Linked DNA regions of Rattus norvegicus. The protein of the gene in region 4 purifies or fractionates together with the protein of the main gene of each other region. This does not show direct contact. Links are inferred from orthologs where the notes say so. Each region holds a gene or a part of one and is shown on either strand. Other genes may lie near its edges.

Region 1 (3,500 bases), on a different chromosome or scaffold from region 4:
CAAGGTCATCCCCTTGATCTGTAGTCACAGGCAGTTATGAGCATGTGTGTGCTGGGAACTAAACTTGGATCCTTTAGAGAGGAGCAAGCATTCTTTAACTATACTCTCTCTAGTCCCTTAAAAATATTTAAAATATTTTTACATTTATTTGTGTGTGTGTGTGTGTGTGTGTGTGTGTGTACATATGTGACACAGTGAGTTTATGTGGAGGTTAACAGGAGCTAGCTCTCTTCTTCCTCCTTGTGGAGCTACACAGTGAGACCTTGTCTTAAAAACAAACCAACTAACCAAGAGAGCCTTTTAGTCGCAAATGACTTGGCACGGAGTAAGATTCTATAATCTAAAACACAACCTGCTCTGTTAGGGAAAAGCCACTTTTCTCAGAATTCAACATTACCTCAAGGAAAACACAGAGTAAGACAAATGAAGTCAGCAGGCACCAGAACTCTACCGTACAGTTAGAGATCTGTCTTCTAGTAGGAAAATGCTATTGGTGGATCCAACACTTGGTAAACTGACATAAAAGACACCAAGTTTAAAGCCCACTTTGGCTACACAGCAATACAGAACGAGGGTGAAAGGTGGTCCAGAGGGGGAGGGGTGGTCTAATTCCAGCAGTTGGCAGGTTAAAGCAGGAGAACTGGGAGTTTAGAGCTAACACTAGTTACACAGTATTGCAGGCCAGACTACGATAAAACCTTGCCTCAAAAATATAAAGACAGAGAAAATACAGTTATATCTCCGAGCTGAAGTTATACTGCACTCAGAACTGTGGTCATCTTTCCTAAAACACAGATTTTAAAAAGTACATACAATTTAAATAAGAAATAAAAAGGAAGGAAAGGACGGCTGGAGACCTAGGTTCATATGTCCAATCCCTAGGAGCCGCTAGGGGTGAAAGGAGCTGACATCACAGGTCATCCTTTGACCTTGACATGGGTACTGTGGCATGCATGTCTCCATGAGCACACAGCACACACTCAAACACACGATAATCCTAAGTCACATACTTCAGTCAGAACTGCGCAGTGGCCTAAGCGAGAGAGAACACAGAAGACAACTGAGCAGCAACACACAAACCCAGAAGGCAGCGGGATAAAGCACGCTGCGTAGTTAAATAAAGCACCGGCATAAACTCCTTAATAGTCCAACTTCTGCTTCATTTTAAAATAAAAAAATAAAAATTAAAGTCCTGTGTGGTGGTACAAACCTTTCAGTCCTAGCACTTGGGAGGCAGAGGCGGATAGATCTCTGAGTTCAAGGCCAGCCTGAGGGGAAAAAAAGCCTAACCCGAACCCCAAGTCACCAGGGGTTTTCATCCAAGTGAGCCGCCACCACACGAACCTGAGCGCCTCCAAGACTCGGCTTCGTCCACTCCGAGCAGAGCGAGTGCTGTCAGGAGTTGAAGAGGCGCTGTTACAACTACTTCTTGACATGCAAGTCTTCTGGGCTGGTGTCCTCACGATGGAGGTTGCTGACATGATCTCTTGTAGTTGTTTCTGGAAGTTCTCTCTCATCTCCAAGGCCTGGGTCAGAGCTTGAAAGACAGTCAGTCGTCAATAACAATCAAGAGAAGTGTGTCCCCTCCTCTCCTTCTTCTCCCTCCCCCTGGCTGGATTTTGAAGATAGGATCTGAGTGTGGGGTTAGGCTGATCTCCCTCCCCATTGTGATCCCTGCCACAGTCTCTAGAGTTCTGGGATTTCAGACATGCATTACCATACAGTTACAAACGTCTCTTGTCAATCATATCTTAACTATTTTGTCTAGATCTGGTTAAATAAAAACAAAGTTGCCATTTACTGAATATTTATATAGGAATGCAAGGCTAAAATGTCACAAAACACAAAGGCAATCCTGAGGACTGTATCTGAAATACTGAAGACTGCCTTGGCTCAGTCCCTCTGAGTAGTGCCCTGCTTGCTTCTGATCCCTTCTCATTGATGCATACTACAAAGAGTCATATAGTCATTTGTATGTACCTGATTTTTTTCAATAGCTCTGAGGTTTATTTGCTTTGGGGGATGGGTCTTGCCATAGCTCAGACTGGTCTTGAAGGCCGGCTCCTCCTGCCTCAGCATCAAGAATAGGATTAGTGCTGTAAAGCACTGCCCAAGCTTTCACTAATCCCTCTTTGTCTTTCCTTTCCACTACAGACTAGACATTCAAGTAGATACCAAGTAGGAATGTTTGACACGAACAGAATGGAACAGGTAAGTGAGAAAGCAAGTTCTAATAGGCAGGCTGAATAAGGAAGCCAGAGAGTAACCTGTCAGAAGAGAACCCACACATCTAAATAAGGTAATCAGTGCAGCGCTATCTGTATTAGTAAGAAATTCAAAATAACTTGCTAATGCAAGAAACAGCAAAATAAAGCACAAGCCACACACTAAACCACCAAACAAAACCCAAGACTGAAGCAGCTCCCGATTCCCAGACATGGTCTATGGCTTCGGTGCACACCCTCCTGTGTGTGGAGTGCTGTCAACTCCTAAGAGATGAGGCCTAGCCTAAGGTAGCTGGGTCATGAGGAACACTGCCTGCCCCAGAAGCAATTAGTGCAGTTTTCAGGGGCCTCAGGCTGGTTTTGTTGTAGGTTGCTCCGCTGGTCTACCCTGCTTGCAGTCTTTCTTGTGATGACACTCACCCACTTGCACTCTTTCCCTTCCTGATAAACTCTCCTGACATACCAGAAGGTCTTCATCAGAGTCCAAGCAAGCTTAGACTTTCATTTTCTAAAGCTGTTAGAGCTAAAAACGTACCCTTTATCTAGGTTACCCCAGGTGTAGTTCTACAGCAACAGAAAACACTGAAACATTGCTCTTTTTTAGAAAAAAAAAGAAAAGAAAAGAAAAGGCTGTGAACCATGTATTAACAACTGTCCAAGTCTTCCAAATGATTCTGTTGGTCGGTCGCCTGTAGCCAGTGACCACTGATGTTGCTACTGTGTGCCCCACACCTACACAAGTGGCACACCTGACTGGCTGCTCCCCATCTCTTTCCTTCCTACGACTTCCTCAACCCCCAAGAAACAACAGTACTAAAACTAGCTTAATTAACATCCAGTGGCTTAAGTGCCAGGCGAAAAGAGTCACACTCCTCTCTTTAGCTCTAAATGACCAAGGTGAGTGAAAAAGGGATGTATGAAAGCCAAGTTAGGTCAAAGGCTATGCCTCTTATGCTGAACAGTCAAGCTGTGAATGCAAAGAGAAAATTCTCAGAAGAAATTCACAGTGCTACTCCAGCGAGCACACAGCTTCTCATGGACACGAGGCTGCAACTGACTGCCCTAAGCAGATGACTCAGACCGGAAGAAGATGCCTCTCCAGGGCTATTGGAGAAGTCGGTGTCTGGCTTCAAAGCTAGACGGCCAACCCAGTTCTTCTATTAGCGGCAAAATGCACGTGGGACTTCAAGTCAAAACCAACAAGTGGAAAGTGCGTTTGGCTTGTGGTGCAGGTCTTTAATCCAGCACTTGGAAGAAAGAGGACGGTGATCTCTG
Region 2 (4,277 bases), on a different chromosome or scaffold from region 4:
CAGTCTTGTCTATACAGCATACTCCAAGGCAGCCAACACTACACAGGATTCCATCTCAGAGGAAGCAAAAAGAAACAGAAAAAAAGAAAAAAGAAACAGGAAAAGACACCTAGTTCCAAGAAGACAGACTGTGGAAGTCCAAATAGTTTAAGGTATCTAGAATACAAATCATGGGACAGGGAGCCAATAAGTAAGCACTGTTAAGAACTATACTGTAATTTTGTTACAGATTTTGTTAGGCCTTTATGTATGCACCTTATTGATGCTTCCTGTAAAAGATTAAAGCATTTAACAGGTCCTGCTCTGGTGCTTGGCTGAGGCCCTGTCAGGAAAGCAGACTCTTACGGACAACTTGCCACACTGCCCTCCTGGCAGCCAGTTTAGAGAGATATCAGGGCCCACTATGCAGGCACCTCTGCAGCCACAGTGGACCACCAAAACTTCTGTTGAACACTTGCTTCAATCGTGATCAGTCCAGACAGCCTCCACTGACACTGAAAAGTAGTATGAACAAGACATGCATGCTGGTGAACGCCGATGACCTTGCGATAATCTCATCCAAGCCAGATGGAGAGCACTTCCTCGGTGGCTCTGCAGAAAGCCTGTGGTTGATGCAAACGCATGAAGGACTGCCAGGACTGGGACTAAGACCCTTGCCACATCCCTTTTCTCTTTATATATAAGCCAACTGAAGCTCACTTTCCAGTCAGTGGAAATACAGCTTCTTGTGTCCCTTTATTTGATATTACAATTTCAGGCCTTAAAGATTTTTGTAAATAGTTTAGTTTATTTTTATTAGTAGTAGGGTAGGCTGAGCTGGTTACACAAAAAGGCTGACTGAGGCTAGAGAGAATAGAGAGCTGAGGTTATAGAAGGCTGTGGAAAAAATGAGAGATTCTGTTGCTAAGAGTTTTAGGGCCATTTTAGTCATTGTCAAAGGCCAAGGGTCCTGAGAATGTCTGAGGTTAGGGGTTCATTCAGGAGCCTTATTACCTTATTATTACCAAATGCCTGCTGCTGTTCACTACTGCTCAAAGCTAAAAATTATAATAGCTGCCAAGTGCTGGGCCTGTCGGTAGTTAAAGCCCAGAGCAATAAGCCCAAGCCTATAAGTCACTGGGCCTGCTAGTCTAGTCCCTAGGCCTTGAATTTGGCAGGGTCTAGAACTGCCAGCACTGGAAGGGCAGGTGGACACTTTTCCTACACAGAAAGACCTGGTCATTTGATCAATAACAACTAGGCAGAGGCGCGATGGTAGGTGTTAGGAAGATGTATACACTTAAGGATTACAAAAGAAAACACAAAAAACTTTAGATCTAGAGCAAGAGCCAATCCTGAGGTTTTTCAATTCATATAAATCTAATGCCTGACTGACTTCGTCCCCCTGGAGTCTCACCCGCCAAAGGGCAGGCATCTGCGCCTTCTACCCTAAAACCACCGGCAGGTGGCACTCCTTATCGCGTTTCCTGCTGTTTCGGGGAAAGGGGTGGGACGTCCACTAGCCGGAAGCGGAAGCGTGTCCCTGGCATCCCGCCGTCCGGTCGTGCGGCTTGCGGCATGGCTTTCCGGCAGGCTCTTCAGCTGGCGGCCTGTGGTCTGGCGGGTGGCTCGGCCGCTGTTCTCTTCTCGGCGGTAGCGGTAGGGAAGCCGAGAGCTGGCGGGGATGCAGACACGCGCACGACAGAGCCGCTGGCCTGGACCGGAGCGCGCCCCGGGCACGGCGTCTGGGACTCCAACTGGGACAGGTGCGGGGACGGGAGGGTGGGGCTCAGGCCTGTGCCCTCACATGCATCTCGGTGTGGCAGATATCGGTGCCCTGAAGGGGACGGTGTGTGTTAGTGGGTCTTGAGTTTGTGTGAATCGGGGCGACGGCCCTTTGAGGGTTCCCATACCAGAAGGTGCATCTTCCGAGGGTCTTCGTGCCTGGACCATCCATCCCTCTGAGGGACCTATACTCGCTCGGACCCCATCCTCGAAGAGTCCTTGTTCAGAGACCGTCCACCCGAAGGACTTCGTCCCAGGACCTTTGTGGGCCTGAAATTCTAAAGGCTTAAATTTTACTTATAGTCAGGGTCTTGATCAGGTTTGCCTCACAAATTGTCCTGATGCAGCTTGGGGGAAAATTGGGACTACGAGCTTGCTTTTCCTCCAGAGTCAGAGAACCTGTGCTTGAAATAGAACCAAGGGAACCCATGGAAACCGGGTATAGTGGCGTAGGACTTTAATCCCAGCACTGGGAGTCAGAGGTAGGCAGATCCCTGAATTCTTGGCTCTGTAGAAAAACCCTGTCTCTAAAAAAGGAAAATGAAGTTACCTGATATTAAATGTTTCATTTTTTTTTTTTTGCCATGTCTGCATATGCAGATGGACCGGTAGGTACAGTGACTGGATCTTTGTTAGGTGGGGGAAGGATGCATGACAGACAGATGGATAAACAAGACAGGAAGGGACTAAAACTGGCATATCCACTTGGTTTCTTTCTGCTGTGCATTCCTCTCTGACAGTCCTCTTCAAATTTTGTCTGGTCCAGCCAGCCCCACACATTCCTGTATCTGCAACAAGACTTTGGCTTGGTTGTATATGGGGCTAACACCCCAGGTTAGCCTGCTCAGATAATGCTTGAGCCACCACCAAACTCTGCAAACCTTCCTCTTCACCATTGCTGTCATTTGTCCTGTTCCTGCCTCCTACATTTAGCTGAGTAGCTTCAGTTTCTTCAGCTCCTACATCCAGTCCACTAACTGCGGTCCTCAGCATTGTGATGGTCACTACCTCGTGACTAGTGAACATTTAAAGTGTGTTTAGTGTGACTTAGAAAAGAGCTCTATTTTTATTTAGTTTTAATTTAATTATAGTAATCCCTCTAATGCTGAAGGATTGGTTCCAGGGTCTCTGAACATATCAAACTCTGTGGATGTTCAAAATGATGAAGTATTTGCAGATAACCTAGACATCTAGCTTATCCTCCTGTATACGTTAAGTAATTCCTAGATTATTTACCACCCCCAATACAATAAAATTGCTACCTAAGTAGATGTTAAATTATATAGCTTGAGGTAAAAATCACATACAGAAAGGTCTTTTTAATTCAGGTGTGAACTTTTGAGTATTTTTGATGCCCGGTTGATTGAATATTGAGTATGGAATCTTCAGCTACAAAAGACCTAAGCATATTCAATTTACTTATTCAACCTGGCCTTTTGCAACCCTTCCTCCTCAGCTTTCCATGTGTGAGGAGTCCAGACTCATACTATGAGAAAATAGAGCCAAGGGCCCATGTCTGATATTTTTAATTTACATTAGGGATGTTTGTGCAAGCTTGTCCTCCTTGTGCTTAGAAGGCTGAAGTAGGGTTGCTGCGATGTCAGCCTGAGCTACACTGAGAGGGCCTGTCTTACCACCAACAAAAGGAGTGAATGAACAGCCATGGGCTGGAGAGATGGCTCAGTGGTTAAGAACACTGACTGCTCCTCCGTAGGTCCTGAGGTCAACTTCCAGCAACCGTATGATGGCTCACAACCATCTGTAATGGGATCTGTTGCTCTCTTCTGGTGTGTCTGAAGATAGCGGCAGTTTACTCATATGCATAAAATAAATAAATCTTTAAAAAGCAATGAAACAGCCCCATGACTACCGGAGTCATACAGACAGTCCTGTTCTAGGCTCTGTTGCAATGCAACTTTCCATTCTTACCCCTGTCCTATCACTGCTTGCATATTTGTGGCATTATTGACAGTTTTCCTTTTTTTCCTTCTCGTGCATGTGTGAGTCTGTGTGAGAGCCTGAGGCACATAATGGAAGTTCTTTCTTGATCATACTTCAGATTTATCGTTTAAGGCATGGTCTCTCAGTCAAGCCCAGAACTTGCTAATAGAAGTAGTCTGACTACACAGCTTCTTGTGGGCATCCTGCCTCCACATTCTGAGGGTGGAGTTATAGGTGGGTCACTATCCAGTATTTATGTGGCTTCTGAACTCCAGTCTTCCTGCTTGTATAACAAGCACTTTAACCTCTGAGCCATCTCCCCAGCCTGTCTTCACAGAAACATGAGCCTAAGGCTTCATGTTCTATGCACACATCTGTATCACCCAGAGCAAGGCTGGCCTTCGGGAAGAGTGAAGATGTGCTCTGTGAGGCTAGGCTCTCTGGGCTGGGCTTCCCCCCTGGCCTTTTCCCAAGCACTGAAAGGTGTCTTGGACAAGAGGTCACAAGACAAGACATACTTTCATAATTAGGCGAGAGCCACTGTCACTCATTAACCTGAAGAAAAGGAACGT
Region 3 (4,045 bases), on a different chromosome or scaffold from region 4:
TCTTTTTTTTTAAATACAGAGTTGGACCCAGGACCACATGCATATTAGGCAAGAACTCTGCCACTTAGCTACATCTCCAGCCACAGGTCTTGCATTTTTAAAATGACATATCTTATTCATAAAAAAATTAAGGCATAAACTGTATGAGAGAAAGGTAAAATCCCAACACAAAATGTTTTACCACTGTACTCTTCTAGTTTCATTGTACATGAACAGCAAGCACTAAATAACTTTTTTTTTCAATTCAAATAAGCTGGCAAAGAACAAGGTTAGGTGCAAATGAGCACACTGAAAACAAAAATCTCAATGGTTATCAACTAGTGAATTGTGCAGATGACTGTGTACCCACATACTGATGGCTGTCAGCAATTCAAACTGGCTGAAGAGTCTGTGAAGCTCCTGCCTAAGAGGCACCAAACCCTGACTTCAATCTGCAGTACCACGAAAGAAAAAACTAGAAGGAAAGAAGAAAATGAGCTATCAATATATCGAAGATGGCTCTCAAAATAGTTACACATACTCCCCCACACCCCACAAATAGAAACATGTAGTACAAGATTCCTTTGAAATAATGCTTCTGTCAGCAGCTAGAGGAAGTACCAAGGAACACAACCAAACTTTGGAGGGTGAAGGGTATGTTCATTATTTGATTGTGATGATGAGTCACCAGTGTAAAGCATACCCATGGAACATTTAAAAAAATGTTATTTGCACCACAATTTTATCTTAATAAGGCTATGTTTAAAAGAAGACCTTTTGATTTAAAAAGTGTACTTCTGGCCTTGGATAATATATTTAGATCACCTTCTTTTTCAAACAGATGCACAAAAGTAGAAAGCTGTAAAGTTTCAGTCATGGTAATATATAAACAAAATCTTAATAATCCAAGCTTTTTATAAAAACAACTATAGCTAATACTTTCATAGCTGTTACTATATGCCACATACTTCTTAAAAGATTTTTATTTTTTTAATTATATGTACAGGGGGTGTGCCTCTGTGCCAGTTTGCACATGTGAATGTGAATGTGAATGTAGGCACCTGCAGACTTTGAACACCTTGAGTCCCCAAGAAGCTGGAGTTATAGGCAATTGTGAACTGCCTGACATAGGTGATGGGAACTAAACTCAGGTTCTCTAGAAGAACAGCATACAGCTCTTAACTGCTGAGCCATCTCTCCAGTTCATGCCAGGTATTTTTAAGAAGCTCATTTCTTGTATTAACTTACCTAACTCTCACAGGAGTCCTACCTTACAAGTTAGGAAACTAAAGCCAAGAGTAAGTGATTATCTTTTAGATCCCAGAGCTGGAACTGGTCAGTGAAGGAAGTAGGATATAAAGCCAGGGAGGACGGTTTGAGAACTGATTTTCTTACCCATGTTCACTCTATCACTATCCTTAGTAGCAGCATTGCAAAAACTGCTAGCAAGCAATATTTCAGTATAATAATGTTTTCCTTCATACTCATAAAACATTAGTGTTAGACTCCGCAAAACAAGTGGCATTCATTCTTCTTTCCCACTTAAGACTGTTGAAAAGACATATATGGCAAAGCAAAAATTACTGGGAAGCTGTTTGACAAGGTAACCAATCACTGGGAAGCTAGCTCATCACCCACCCAATCTAATATTCCTCTTTATCTCCATAGGATTTTAAGCAAAGCCAACAAGGAAGGTGAAAAGCAGTCTTACTCCTAACAGCATGAAAAACATAAATGTCTCAAATACCTTAGTATCCTCTAAGCACCATATAGTCTTGATTTCTACCTGCAACTGGTCTGAAGTCTGGTTTAGAAGCTCCCCGGGTGATTGTCATGGGCAGCACAAGTTGAGAACTCCTGATATTGATTTCGCATACAGAAAGACACAGAAGAAAGCTTGGAGCTACCAAAAGCTAAGGTAAGCCACAGTCCAAAGTTTCCAAATCAATATTACATTGTGTCCGAGTGCAACTTCTACTCATTCCAAGTAGCATGCTCCCAGAAGATGCTGACCTGGCTGGTAGATGACTACTCTGAGCAGCAAGGCCACACTAACTGGAGTATTAGCCTCTTGACTTACAATTATGGTTATATACAGTGCCCAAGAAAAGGAGAAGTGAGAACATGAAGTTGCTTGTCCAGCAGTGTTAAGAAACATTAGAACATTATGTTCTTGGTCCCAGCTTAGCATGTATCAAAGCAAGTGAATGAAGTGAATGAAAAAGGATTGAGTTTTTGTTTTGCTTTGTTTTCAAGTTTACTTCTATATTTTATAGCACAGAACTAAGGATTCAACAAATGCAATGTATGAACGAATGAATGAATGAATGGGAAGAATATACAAACATAAAAACTACATCACATCTCTGGGAGCTATATTTACCTCTATTGATGCAGAAAGCCATACATTGATGAAATGATAAAATTTGCTGTTCCATTCATTTGGCTATTTTATTCAATGGAAATTCCCTCAACGTTGTTGGCCCTTTAAATCTCCGTCTCCCTGCACCCTGGTGTTTAACAGTTCTAATGGAAAGAGAAGGAAAACCTACGAGAAAAACTGTGGAAAGTCCCAAAATCCAAAGGAGAAAAATATAGTGGTATATATAAATAAGATGGGCAAACATTTCAGTCCAACTGAGGGAACAGCTAGGATGTCAGAAGTGTCTTACCTATGGTGGCAGGAGGTGGGTTCGGGCTTTATATGTGTTATTACTGTCCAGGGTCACTGGTGGACTAGCACCTGGATGTGAAAACTCAGACTAAAAGGCGGCGGGCCAAGCTTCAGAAGCTTTGGCCTACTTCCTGTTTCCCAGTGTCCCTCGCGCGTTTGAGAATGCAACCGGCGCCCAAACACAAGATGGCATGACGGACTTCACACACTTAGAAGCCAGTGCCAGGACCTACGATGGCGGCGAAGCCCTGGATAAGGTAACAGAATAGCCAGAAGGAACTGCCCAAACGAAAAATGGCTCGCGTCGATGATATCAAAGCTTTATGGAGACCAAAATAAAGATGGCGGCCAAAGCGGATTTTTTTTTTTTCTTAAAGAAGCTGGAAATGCCATGAATACGATTGGCAGATAATGTATCACTGAAGGTCAACGATACGTAGTGATGGACAACAACAAAAGCCGTACTTTCCATGGTATCACAAAACTATAGGGCAGGTGTAGAAAATATTTTTAACGAGGAATATTAAAAGGTTGAAAAATAAAGGTGATTTTCACAGGGTCAGGGAAAAAGTAATTAAAATATGTTTAAACATAATTCCATAATGTTTCGTGTGGCTCAAGAGAACAAAAGACTTATCCCTGAAGAAGAAAAAAAAAAAGAATGGCAAAACCAAGGAAATTAATCAACCGGATCCGGCACTGAATTGGAAACTCCCAACTTCTGCCAAACCAGATCCTTAGACTGGGCGGAAGTTCCCTGCAAGGCGACAGGCTCTGACTGCGCATGCCCGCTCTCCGACGTCTTCGCCGGACCGCAGGGCGGAGCTACTTTCTACAGTTCAGGTAGTCCTGAGAGAGGTGGGAATTGACAAATGAGTGACAGAACGAGGCGCCTTATGATTGGTCAGAGCAGGAAAAGCCACAAGAATGGTGGTAGCTTCATTCATTCTACAAATACCTTTTGAGAGAGCAGAGAGCCGCAAGCTCTGTCGCCTTCTTGGCGCTGTGATGTGTTTTTATACCTTTTCCGTTTTGGTAGTTTGCACAGACAAAATACACGTCGGCCCCGTAAGGTTTCCGGTGACGGCCGCAGCTTTTCTCTGCGGGAGCTGCAGGCAAACCCCGGAAAAGGGGTGCGCGTGGAGTTGCGCATGCGCCTTCCCGCCGCGCAGGGCAAAGGTGGTGGCGCTCTGGTGAATGGTTGGTTGCTGTGCAAGAGCGTTTTCTGGCTTTTGGTGGCGAAGGCGGCCTGGCCGCGAGGTGCAGCTGCTGGTGGGCAGGTGAGAGGGTTCAAGCCGCCGGTGGAGAAGCCCCCTGTGGCCCTGCTGCGTCCCCACATGGGAAGTGGCCGTGACCAAGGGTATTTGGGGGCGGGGATACAGAGGCACCTAG
Region 4 (3,095 bases):
TGGCCAGGACACATTCCACAAACACCAAGCTTTGTTCTGACCTCCCTGGCCTCTAAGATCAGCTCATAAATCCTTCCCAGGAATCTGTCCTTGATGTCATGGCTTTCTCGTAGTGCTAGGAACTGAACAGAACCTTAGGTATACTTTATCACCAAGCCACACTGCAGCTCCTAAAAGAATGGCTGGCTGATCTTTCTTTCGACGTGGCCTGGCACAACTCTAGGTCAGTGTTAACAAAGCAAGCTGATTCAGTAGGTCCAACAGGCCCAGCCTGGCACTTGTGACACTCCAGGTGACACTGAGACTGTCCCTGGCCTGTTCCCCTGAGCAGCAGCAGCTGGAGTTAGTGCCTGTGCAGACAGTAACAAGTGGCATCTGCATGTGTTCTTAGGGATGTACATCAGCGGACAGTAAGCAGTCAAGGTCAGAACACGTGCAAAGGCGTTGGTGGGCGGCAGGGCGGAGGGCCCCAGCTCACTGTGTGTTCCCCACAGCTTTCCCAGAGAGGAGTGTCTAAGTTTATTGTTTTTTTTTTAAATAAAGCCTTCTTTGTTTTTTATTGCACATCATATAAAACAACTTCACTGTATTTAAAACACATAAGGACATTCACAAGCTGTAGAAATCCAAACTTCTGGGTTTTTTCTGGTCCCAGAGTCCACACTGGGTCAAAGAGGCCTAACACAAATGGGCAGAGCCCACAAACATGCTTACTTTGGGGGTCTTCAAAGCTGTACTGGGCCCTACTCACAGTCCTACTTGAAGAATGCTGGTGACAGTGGCAAGTGTCTGGGCAGGCACAGGGCGGAAGAGCACCTATGACAATAGTGGTGCAGGCTGCCCATCCTGTCTGGTCCGCCGTGGTGTGCTTGGCTGTGCTGGACACTGGCAAGAGAAGAGGCTTGGGTCTTGGCCTGGTCAGCTGGTATGGCCCACTGCCTTTCAGGTACACATAGGATGGGGACCCTGCTTGGGCCAAAGGGGGAAAACTAGTGCTGGCTGAGGGGGGAGGGTCTGCTCTGAGACCAAGGGTGACACACACAGTTAGAGTGCAGAAGACTTCTTGTCCTTTACACAGACACAGGTCCACGTCCTACGACATACTGTGGAGGCCTCCCTTACACTAGGTGCTCAGGCCTCTGGCAGGTCTAACTGGGTGGAGGACGGTCATTTCTGATCCTTTTTCTTTCGGCCCGAGGGCTGCCGCCTCTTCTGTCTGAGCTTCTCCTTGCGGGCGGCAGCAGTCGTGAAGGTGACACATTGAGCATCCAGGATGTCCAGCAGCTTGCCCATGGCCACAGGAATGCCGTTCTGCTTCAGCTCAGCCTGCAGCTCAGCCAGCTGCAGAGGCTGGTACATCAGGACCTTCCTGTGCAGGGCAGGCTGCGAGCAGATGTAGCGCCTCACCGCCTCCTCTGTGTCTGGGGCCTGCATCGCTACCTGTGACGCGGTGACGCCATCCTCCTCATCCTTGTCTTCGCCTACAGACTCCAAGGCAGCCCCAAACTCACCAGAGGAGCTGGAAAGAACAATGGTGTTATGTAACACCTTTTTCTCAGCTCCCAAGACCAGGAACCCCTTTGAGGGATGACTTTCCATGGTTCTGTTGGGCCTGACACGTGACAAGACTCCTTGATGGTGCCCTACAGGTCTCTGTGGTTCTTGGTTCCCTGGCCAGGCCAGTCTAGGTGGGATCTGCCTCCCAATCCCACCCAGAAAGCACAGGCATCTAAGGAAACTACGGGGCTCCTCAGGCCTGTGGGGACTCGGAATGAACACGTAAGCCATGTGGGCGTCCTAGAGAACAGAAATCACGTGCTTTCGGACACTGGCCATTAGGCTTCTCTAATGCCCTTTCAGACCCACCATTCACAGGACACACAGTGTGACAGACCCTGCTGCATCCATTACCTCTGAGAGCTAAAGGAGTTGTCGCTGCCATCCACAGAGGTAGCCATGCACTCCTGGGAGGCTGGGAGCTGGGCGTCACCATCAGGGCGTGAAGGCTCCCCAGCTGGTGACCTGCTCGGGTGGGAAATGCTTTCACCGAGCTGCTCCTCCTGATGTTGAAGGCTCTTCCTTTTACTGGGGCCCTTGGATCTTTGAGTCCGGAGACCTGCAGTGGCCTTGAGCTGGGTGTAACTTCCTGACCTTGAAGGGTTGCAGGTCTCAGTGTTCGATGCCTGGCTGCGAGCTACCCCTGGGGGTACCTGGGAGGACTGGATCTCATCCTCAGAGTCTGACTCCAGAGTCTGGTGAGTGTACTGGAAAATCTCCTTCAGTTTTAGAACCATCTGGCGTTTGGGCAGAGCACGGACTCCAAACCTGCATGTGGAAAGAGATGAACATCAACGTCCAGCAGCAAGGCCCTACCACCACACTCTGCTGCAGAGTAACGTGTGGCTTTAGTGGACTCAAGTTTCACAAGCCCGACTTGCTTAGGTGTGCAAAGCTGACCATGTGGCCACATGCCAACCAAGCCTCCTCTGAAGGCTACCCATGCCAGAAATGTCCCCAGTGTCCTGGGACAGTGGGAGCACTGACTTCACCAAGTATCTGAGACTGAGGAGCACCACTGCTCGGGATGTGGCAGTTTTCACATCGTGGTACAAAATTAAGTCTCCTTACTTGGCTGGCACGGCTAGGGCTCCATTCCTACCAGCATGGAGTAACCACAGGAGTCGTCTGTCAGCGCTAGGAGCTCACGGTTGGTAAGGACGTGGAAAAGCCCAGCCACTCAACCCACTCGAGTCTATGCAGAGCAAACTGCAGGAATTCCTCCCCGGGCTAAGGGTCAAGTGCTGGGTCATCCCACTTGCCCGGCCTGGTTCTTCGCAGGAGACCACCTACGAGGAAGTCGGAGTCACTACCAACCTGTCCAGTTCTCTCTTCAGCACTGGGGTCTCCATGATCGAATACCTTGGCATTGGGGTTACAGGCACTTTGGGGGGCAAGTTCTTTCTCTGGTTAGCACCTTCTGGATAAAACACAAGAAGCACATGATTTAGTGTAAGAGGCATGGGTCTGCCACCACCTTTTGCCCCAGAAGTGTCACCATGGAAAAGGAGAGACCCCAATCAACACTGTGCCCAAGG
Region 5 (3,500 bases), on a different chromosome or scaffold from region 4:
TCTCAGATTTTTACTTCTTTGGACCCTAGTAGCACCATGCTGCCTTTAACTTGTAACAAAACTACATTGCTGATCTACAATTAGTCTGCGATTAGCTATAACACACAAAACTGTTTTGTACACCAATTAATTTCATGCTGCTTATAACTTTACTGTTTCAACATCATATTGTGGCTCCATTTTCTTCTAAGGATTAGCTAAAGATTCAGAGACTCAAAGTCCACTTCTAAGACTGTGAATCATGGCAACAGGAAGGAGACAAGCAGGAGTGCTCAGACACTTCCTTCAAGATCATCTTACATCAGAAGCTCCACAAGTCTCCTGCATACTCCTGCATCGATGACTGCTTGGATTTTATCATTGGGTCCATCTGACAGGTATGAGAGAGCCCAGCAAGCATCAGCCAGTACATCAGTGTCACTGACAAACAGCAACCAAGAAAGGACATTCAGACAGGGAGAAACCTGGTTTAAAAAAAAAAAAAAAGAAAAGAAAAAAAAGATGATTACAACTGCTGGAGTGAGATAAGACTCTCAAGAAGCTTACCAGATAGATGCTGGGTGAGTTACACTTCTAGTTAGGAACCGTCAAGTCTCTGAAGGACATTTCTATCTCTGGCAATGTGGTCAATAGGTATTCAGTTTACTAAACTGAGGATGTCAGAACACAAGAAAACTGATTTCAAGAAGAAAACTTTTATGCATTCTTCCTTAATACACACTTCCAACAAGGAGGTAAAGGAACTTCCACAAACACTACTGCTGAGAACTTCTGTTGCAGAACTTTGTTATCCACAAAAACTGCTACAGCCCTAAACGTAACATAGAGCTTCATCCCAGCACTGAGAAACTACACTAAATTAAAAACGAAAACAAACTACCAAAAGCATTTTCTCTACAAACCAGTACATTTTCTAACACTCTAAATAATTTTATCAAAAATTGTCCTAGCCAAGTGGTGATGGTTCATGTCATCCCAACACTCAGGAAGCAAAGGGAGGCAGTTCTCTGTGAGTTCAAGGACAGCCTTGGACTCAAGTTCTGGGACAACCAAAGCTACAAGAGAAACCCTATCTTGAAAAACAAACACAAAGCAAACAAAAATCCCTTTCTGTAAACATTAATATTTAAGAGCAGTATTCCCTAACAATTTCCCACAAGCGTAGTATTTACCTTAGCAAATTCTGGAGGTGGACTCTTCCCTCTACATAGATTAGATAAAGCCCACACTGCATTCCGGGTCATGGTCAAGCGGTTTTGCTTTGAAAATAACCTACAAGTATAATGGTTCCATGGTAAGTTCTAAGATACTAATTCTCTAGAAAGGAATTAATACTACTGATAAAGGATTCTCTAACTTTTCTCCAGAACAATAAAGATTCATCCCTTTCCTACATTACTCACTCTTTGAAGATAAACTTCACTAATTTTTATTCACTATTTCAGAATTTCAGTAAGAGACATCACCCTAACAATGTAACAAGATACTGGAAATCAAAATAACACTAGGAAATCCAAAATGATGTCCCAAGATATAATACTTCTCATATCAAAAAAAAAAAAAAAGAAAGAAAAAAAAGAAAAAAGGAAGAAGACGACACTTACTGCAGCAGAGGGGGAAGGATATTGCAGTCTAAGACGTAGTCCCTGCACATGGTGCTATCTCCAGCAATGTTGCCAAGAGCCCAGACTGCCTGTGAAGTAAAGTTGTATACTTTCATTCCCTCACAATTCTTTAAAAGGGATGCCAGCATACCATAGTAACATTTTACAAAATCAATAATAGTTCACCAACATTTTATATAAAGACTATTATTAACTCTTAAAACCACTCATCAGGGAGTCAAAGCAGTTCCAGGATTAGAGTTAGAAAATATGTGACTATGTGGAAAAGCAAAAGGAAATGTTCCACTAAAGTGAAAGCTTACAAGTAAGAGAACTTTTCCCAGAGCTGGGAATTGAATTCAGGACTTCACACAATTGCTGGCACTGAACAATTGCCCCACTACTAATAAGATGTACCCCCAGTCTGGAGGCAATTATTTTTATAGGATCCCATCCTCCCTCATAAGTAATATTTTATAGTCCTCTGCACAGAACAAGGATTTAAATGGCTTACTTGGTAGATTAAAAATGTACTTAAGGTTGCTTTTAATAGAAAACTCTTAAGCACATAACCAAAATAAAAATATAGGTGTTTATTAAACTTGTGAAAGTTTAATAACAATGGTCTCACAGGTGTACATGCCACACTGTACAATTTTTATTTTAAAAAGAAGACAGCTAAAAGCTGCAAGAATGCCATGGTTGAAAGGGAAATACTAGAGGATTTTTCCTATTTAAACAAGCTATGACTCACTGTGATGGAGTAATCTAAATGAAGCTGGGTGTGGCTACGAGAATGTGAGCTCTCTTATCTGTGTGACTGCTGAGACCTTACCTGCTCCTGGACATCTTCAAACTCTGAGCTAAGCAACTCGATGAAGATAGGAACAGCTCCTGCCTGAATCACAATCCGGGTCTGAAGAGAGTTTCCTGAAGCAATATTTGTCAGGACCCAAGCTGATTCAAACTACAAAGACAAAAGTAAGTTCCATTACCTTATTAAAATTTAGAAGGTTATTTACATAAAGAAATACAGTATTTTGAACATAAAATAAAAGTCTGGAGTCAGACTGGGACTATTATTGGCATATTGTAAATACCATGTTCATTTAAAATAGTTTCCAGAATACCTCAGTCTATGAAAGGAATATTTAAAGGTATCTAAAATTTCAGACCAAAGTATAATTACCATGAAACCACAGGGGAAAAAAATGTGTTTCATAAGTTTATATGAAATGATCTCTAATGAAAGGAACAAAATGACAAATAATATACTTCAATACAGTTAAAATACCATTTCATTAAAAGGTTAAAAGGGAATAAACACATTAATATACATATTGTACACATAATCTCTAGACAGTCACAAGAAACCATCATAAGCTTACACAGACAGGCCTAGATGATTATGAAATGGCCTGGAGCTCTCTATGTAGACCACACTGGCCTTGAAATCAAGAGGTCTGCCTGCATCTGCCTCCCAAGTGTCAGGATTAAAAACAAGTGCCACTATACCCAGCAGCTAAAGGTAAGTTTCTTACAAGAAAAAAGAAAAAGAGGAGGGGGGGGGAGATGAAGAGGTGGTGGCAAAGTTGAACGGAGGAAAAGTCGGCCTAGTATTACAGCACTGGTAAGGAGAAATGAACTTATGGCCAACAATTACAGCTATTACCAATTTCAGAGATTCTTAATTTTCTCTTTAGCTTAACATTAAGAAATCCAAAAGTAATTCAATCAAGACTCCTGAATTTTGGGGTTGGGGATTTAGCTCAGTGGTAGAGTGCTTGCCTAGCAAGCGCAAGGCCCTGGGTTCGGTCCCCAGCTCCGGGAAAAAAACAAAAAACAAAAACAAAACAAACAAACAAAAAAAAAACTCCTGAATTTTATTAGGTTAAT
Region 6 (2,190 bases), on a different chromosome or scaffold from region 4:
AGACCCACCTGACTGTCTTAGGTCAGGGGCTGCTTAGGGGCATAAGTACTAAGCCCAAAGGGTAAGTTTTCCCTCTGCCATACCTGCATGCGTAAAGCACTGGAACAAATACTGCTCTGTGGATGAATAAGTTCCCTCTAACACACCTGCCCTACATAAAGCACTGCACAGGTACTGCTCTGTGGAGGGGCCAGCTCAGCTGTTCAGTCAGGACAGAAGTAGGACAGGTACACAGCTGCCAAGACACTAGCATGAGTTCCCTAGGGGCAGGTCCAACAAACAGAGCTACCCTTTGGAGACAGAATCTGGGAGAACATTGGTTAAAGAAGCCAAGCAAGAGACGAGGGATGCCTACTAAACCCATTCTAGTATAAACTGCCCTTTGAATCTGAGGTTGTGTGTCTAGCCTGGGACCTTGCTTACTGGCAGTTGACTGTGCTTGCTCTCCAAAGGGAAGGCTGTTTCCTGGCTGGTAGCTACATCGTTGGCCTGTTAGCTGGAAGCAGATGTCCTCAAACTGCTGCTTGTGGTGGGGTCGTACAAACTGGTAGAAACCTGTGGGAAGTAGTTGTCTGAGTCTATAGAGTCCATATACTATTACTCTGGACCATGGCTTAACTACTAGGCCGTTTCTCTGGAAAGCAGTCAACCCTGGGCCCTATAACCAGTCCCACCCCCACTGCAGTGGTGTTAACCCTATAGCAGAATTTTGAAAACCAGGGTACCTTTAAGTAGGGTGTGTTTCTTGGGGTCTTCAGCAAAGAGGCAGGTGAGAGAGGCCACTAGGGCTTCAAAGTCATCAGAACTCTTATAGTGCTGCAGGGCCTGGGTAAAGGTGTCAAAGTTAGCTTGGCTCAGTGCTTGCTTCACGGCCACCATGAACATCTTGGCTCTGCCTGCCTGTGTGCCAGCCACTGGTTCCTCCTAGAAGAAATATGACCAAGAGCCCTATTGGAGCCAGCCCTTTCCTCCTGCCTTGGAGGCAGTACAGAGTTTGGGGCCATTCAGGCTATTGCCTGTGAACTATCTACCAGGGCAAAAAGCAGAGCACTGCTAGAGAAACAAGACCCAGTTCTGGTATGTGGTGAAGCTCAGGCCTGTCTGAGATCACACCAAAAGCAGTTGGAAACCTATAGGGAACCTATATGACCCCACAGCAGATGTACCTGTAGAGAAGGGCACTTCTCAACAGGCTGCACTCCACTTGTGTGCATCTCAGATCTATAAAGAACTATGTAAGACAGCTCCCACCCCTACCATTTCCAGCCTTCAACAGGCTCAGGCCCTCCGTATCTAGTGTACTACCAGATGCAACAGCCCTCCTGGGCACTGTTTGAATTGTCTTATAAGCTGGACAAGAACAAAAGCCACCTTTCCAGCAGGTAGGGGTTAATGGCTTAGGATGTAACTAAACTTTGCATCTGAGACTAAGAACACACGGTACCTCCTCACACAGATAATTCAGTGTCCACTCAGAAAGAGCCACCATCAGGCCACTGTTCATTATGGTGGAGGGAATCACAACCATAGACCCCAAACCAAATAATCCTAAGGGTTAGGCTAGATTCCAGCATAAAAGAAAAAGATCTCTTGAGCAGGCTGAGTACAGTGGCACACGCATGTAATCTCAGCAGTTGGGAAGTAGAGGCAAGAGGATGATCAAGAGTTCAAAGTCATTCTTGTTACATAGTAAATTCAATGCCAGCCTTTTTACAACCCTGTCTCAAACTAAAAAAAAAAAAAAAAAAAAAAATGGGAAGGCGGGATTGTCTTTTTAGAGAAAGAATGGCAAACTGGAGGCTACCCCCTTGCTTAGGGGCAATAGGCACCAGAGGCAAGATTCTCACATGTGCCCATAAGCAGCTATCTTAGCTGCAGGAGACACTAACATACCGGATGGTTGACCAGCCTGACTTTCTTCTTTCCTCCTCTTTGCTCAACGGACAGCCTCTTTTCACACCGGAGAGATGGGGTGGAGGAGCTGAGTGCCTGAGGGAAACAGAGCTATGGTCCCAACCCAAACCCAGTTTCCAAAGTACCTTTTGGGTTCTCAGGATCCTTGTCTGTGTCCTGAATAGAGACTTGAAAAGGGGATGCAGGGAAAGGTCATACCCTAATTCTGGTGGCAATGCTGAAATTCTGGCCCTTTTATGTCATGCCCCTTGGCCTTGTCTGCAGGTATTGAGAGGG

What was found.
Region 1: the proteins of Slx4 (region 4) and Topbp1 purify together in Homo sapiens (affinity purification with mass spectrometry; 3 studies listed by BioGRID, with this or other methods). This does not show direct contact. The link is inferred for Rattus norvegicus from reciprocal best matches to the Homo sapiens genes SLX4 and TOPBP1.
Region 2: the proteins of Slx4 (region 4) and Pgam5 purify together in Homo sapiens (affinity purification with mass spectrometry; 4 studies listed by BioGRID and IntAct, with this or other methods). This does not show direct contact. The link is inferred for Rattus norvegicus from reciprocal best matches to the Homo sapiens genes SLX4 and PGAM5.
Region 3: the proteins of Slx4 (region 4) and Slx4ip purify together in Homo sapiens (affinity purification with mass spectrometry; 6 studies listed by BioGRID and IntAct, with this or other methods). This does not show direct contact. The link is inferred for Rattus norvegicus from reciprocal best matches to the Homo sapiens genes SLX4 and SLX4IP.
Region 5: the proteins of Slx4 (region 4) and Kpna1 purify together in Homo sapiens (co-immunoprecipitation; 3 studies listed by BioGRID and IntAct, with this or other methods). This does not show direct contact. The link is inferred for Rattus norvegicus from reciprocal best matches to the Homo sapiens genes SLX4 and KPNA1.
Region 6: the proteins of Slx4 (region 4) and Rtel1 purify together in Homo sapiens (affinity purification with mass spectrometry; 3 studies listed by BioGRID, with this or other methods). This does not show direct contact. The link is inferred for Rattus norvegicus from reciprocal best matches to the Homo sapiens genes SLX4 and RTEL1.

Annotation. Positions count from the first base shown.
Region 1 is NC_086026.1:112,794,291-112,797,790, reverse strand, and holds part of Topbp1 (DNA topoisomerase 2-binding protein 1), read right to left. Parts: intron 2,068-3,500; coding exon of another isoform or gene 1,991-2,067; exon of another isoform or gene 1,981-1,990; intron 1,538-1,980; coding exon 1,345-1,537; intron 1-1,344. UniProt on the Homo sapiens protein: Scaffold protein that acts as a key protein-protein adapter in DNA replication and DNA repair. Composed of multiple BRCT domains, which specifically recognize and bind phosphorylated proteins, bringing proteins together into functional combinations.
Region 2 is NC_086030.1:52,067,546-52,071,822, forward strand, and holds the start of Pgam5 (serine/threonine-protein phosphatase PGAM5, mitochondrial), read left to right. Parts: upstream 1-1,477; 5' UTR 1,478-1,557; coding exon 1,558-1,745; intron 1,746-4,235; coding exon 4,236-4,277. UniProt on the Homo sapiens protein: Mitochondrial serine/threonine phosphatase that dephosphorylates various substrates and thus plays a role in different biological processes including cellular senescence or mitophagy. Modulates cellular senescence by regulating mitochondrial dynamics.
Region 3 is NC_086021.1:144,672,602-144,676,646, reverse strand, and holds the start of Slx4ip (protein SLX4IP), read right to left. Parts: upstream 2,801-4,045; 5' UTR 2,652-2,800; intron 2,506-2,651; exon of another isoform or gene 2,363-2,505; intron 455-2,362; exon of another isoform or gene 350-454; intron 1-349.
Region 4 is NC_086028.1:12,053,091-12,056,185, reverse strand, and holds the end of Slx4 (structure-specific endonuclease subunit SLX4), read right to left. Parts: intron 2,978-3,095; coding exon 2,875-2,977; intron 2,326-2,874; coding exon 1,912-2,325; intron 1,520-1,911; coding exon 1,168-1,519; 3' UTR 501-1,167; downstream 1-500. UniProt on the Homo sapiens protein: Regulatory subunit that interacts with and increases the activity of different structure-specific endonucleases.
Region 5 is NC_086029.1:78,242,132-78,245,631, forward strand, and holds part of Kpna1 (importin subunit alpha-5), read right to left. Parts: intron 2,572-3,500; coding exon 2,440-2,571; intron 1,694-2,439; coding exon 1,605-1,693; intron 1,273-1,604; coding exon 1,173-1,272; intron 465-1,172; coding exon 301-464; intron 1-300. UniProt on the Homo sapiens protein: Functions in nuclear protein import as an adapter protein for nuclear receptor KPNB1. Binds specifically and directly to substrates containing either a simple or bipartite NLS motif.
Region 6 is NC_086021.1:188,838,998-188,841,187, reverse strand, and holds part of Rtel1 (regulator of telomere elongation helicase 1), read right to left. Parts: intron 1,990-2,190; coding exon 1,894-1,989; intron 925-1,893; coding exon 726-924; intron 556-725; coding exon 415-555; intron 1-414. UniProt on the Homo sapiens protein: A probable ATP-dependent DNA helicase implicated in telomere-length regulation, DNA repair and the maintenance of genomic stability. Acts as an anti-recombinase to counteract toxic recombination and limit crossover during meiosis.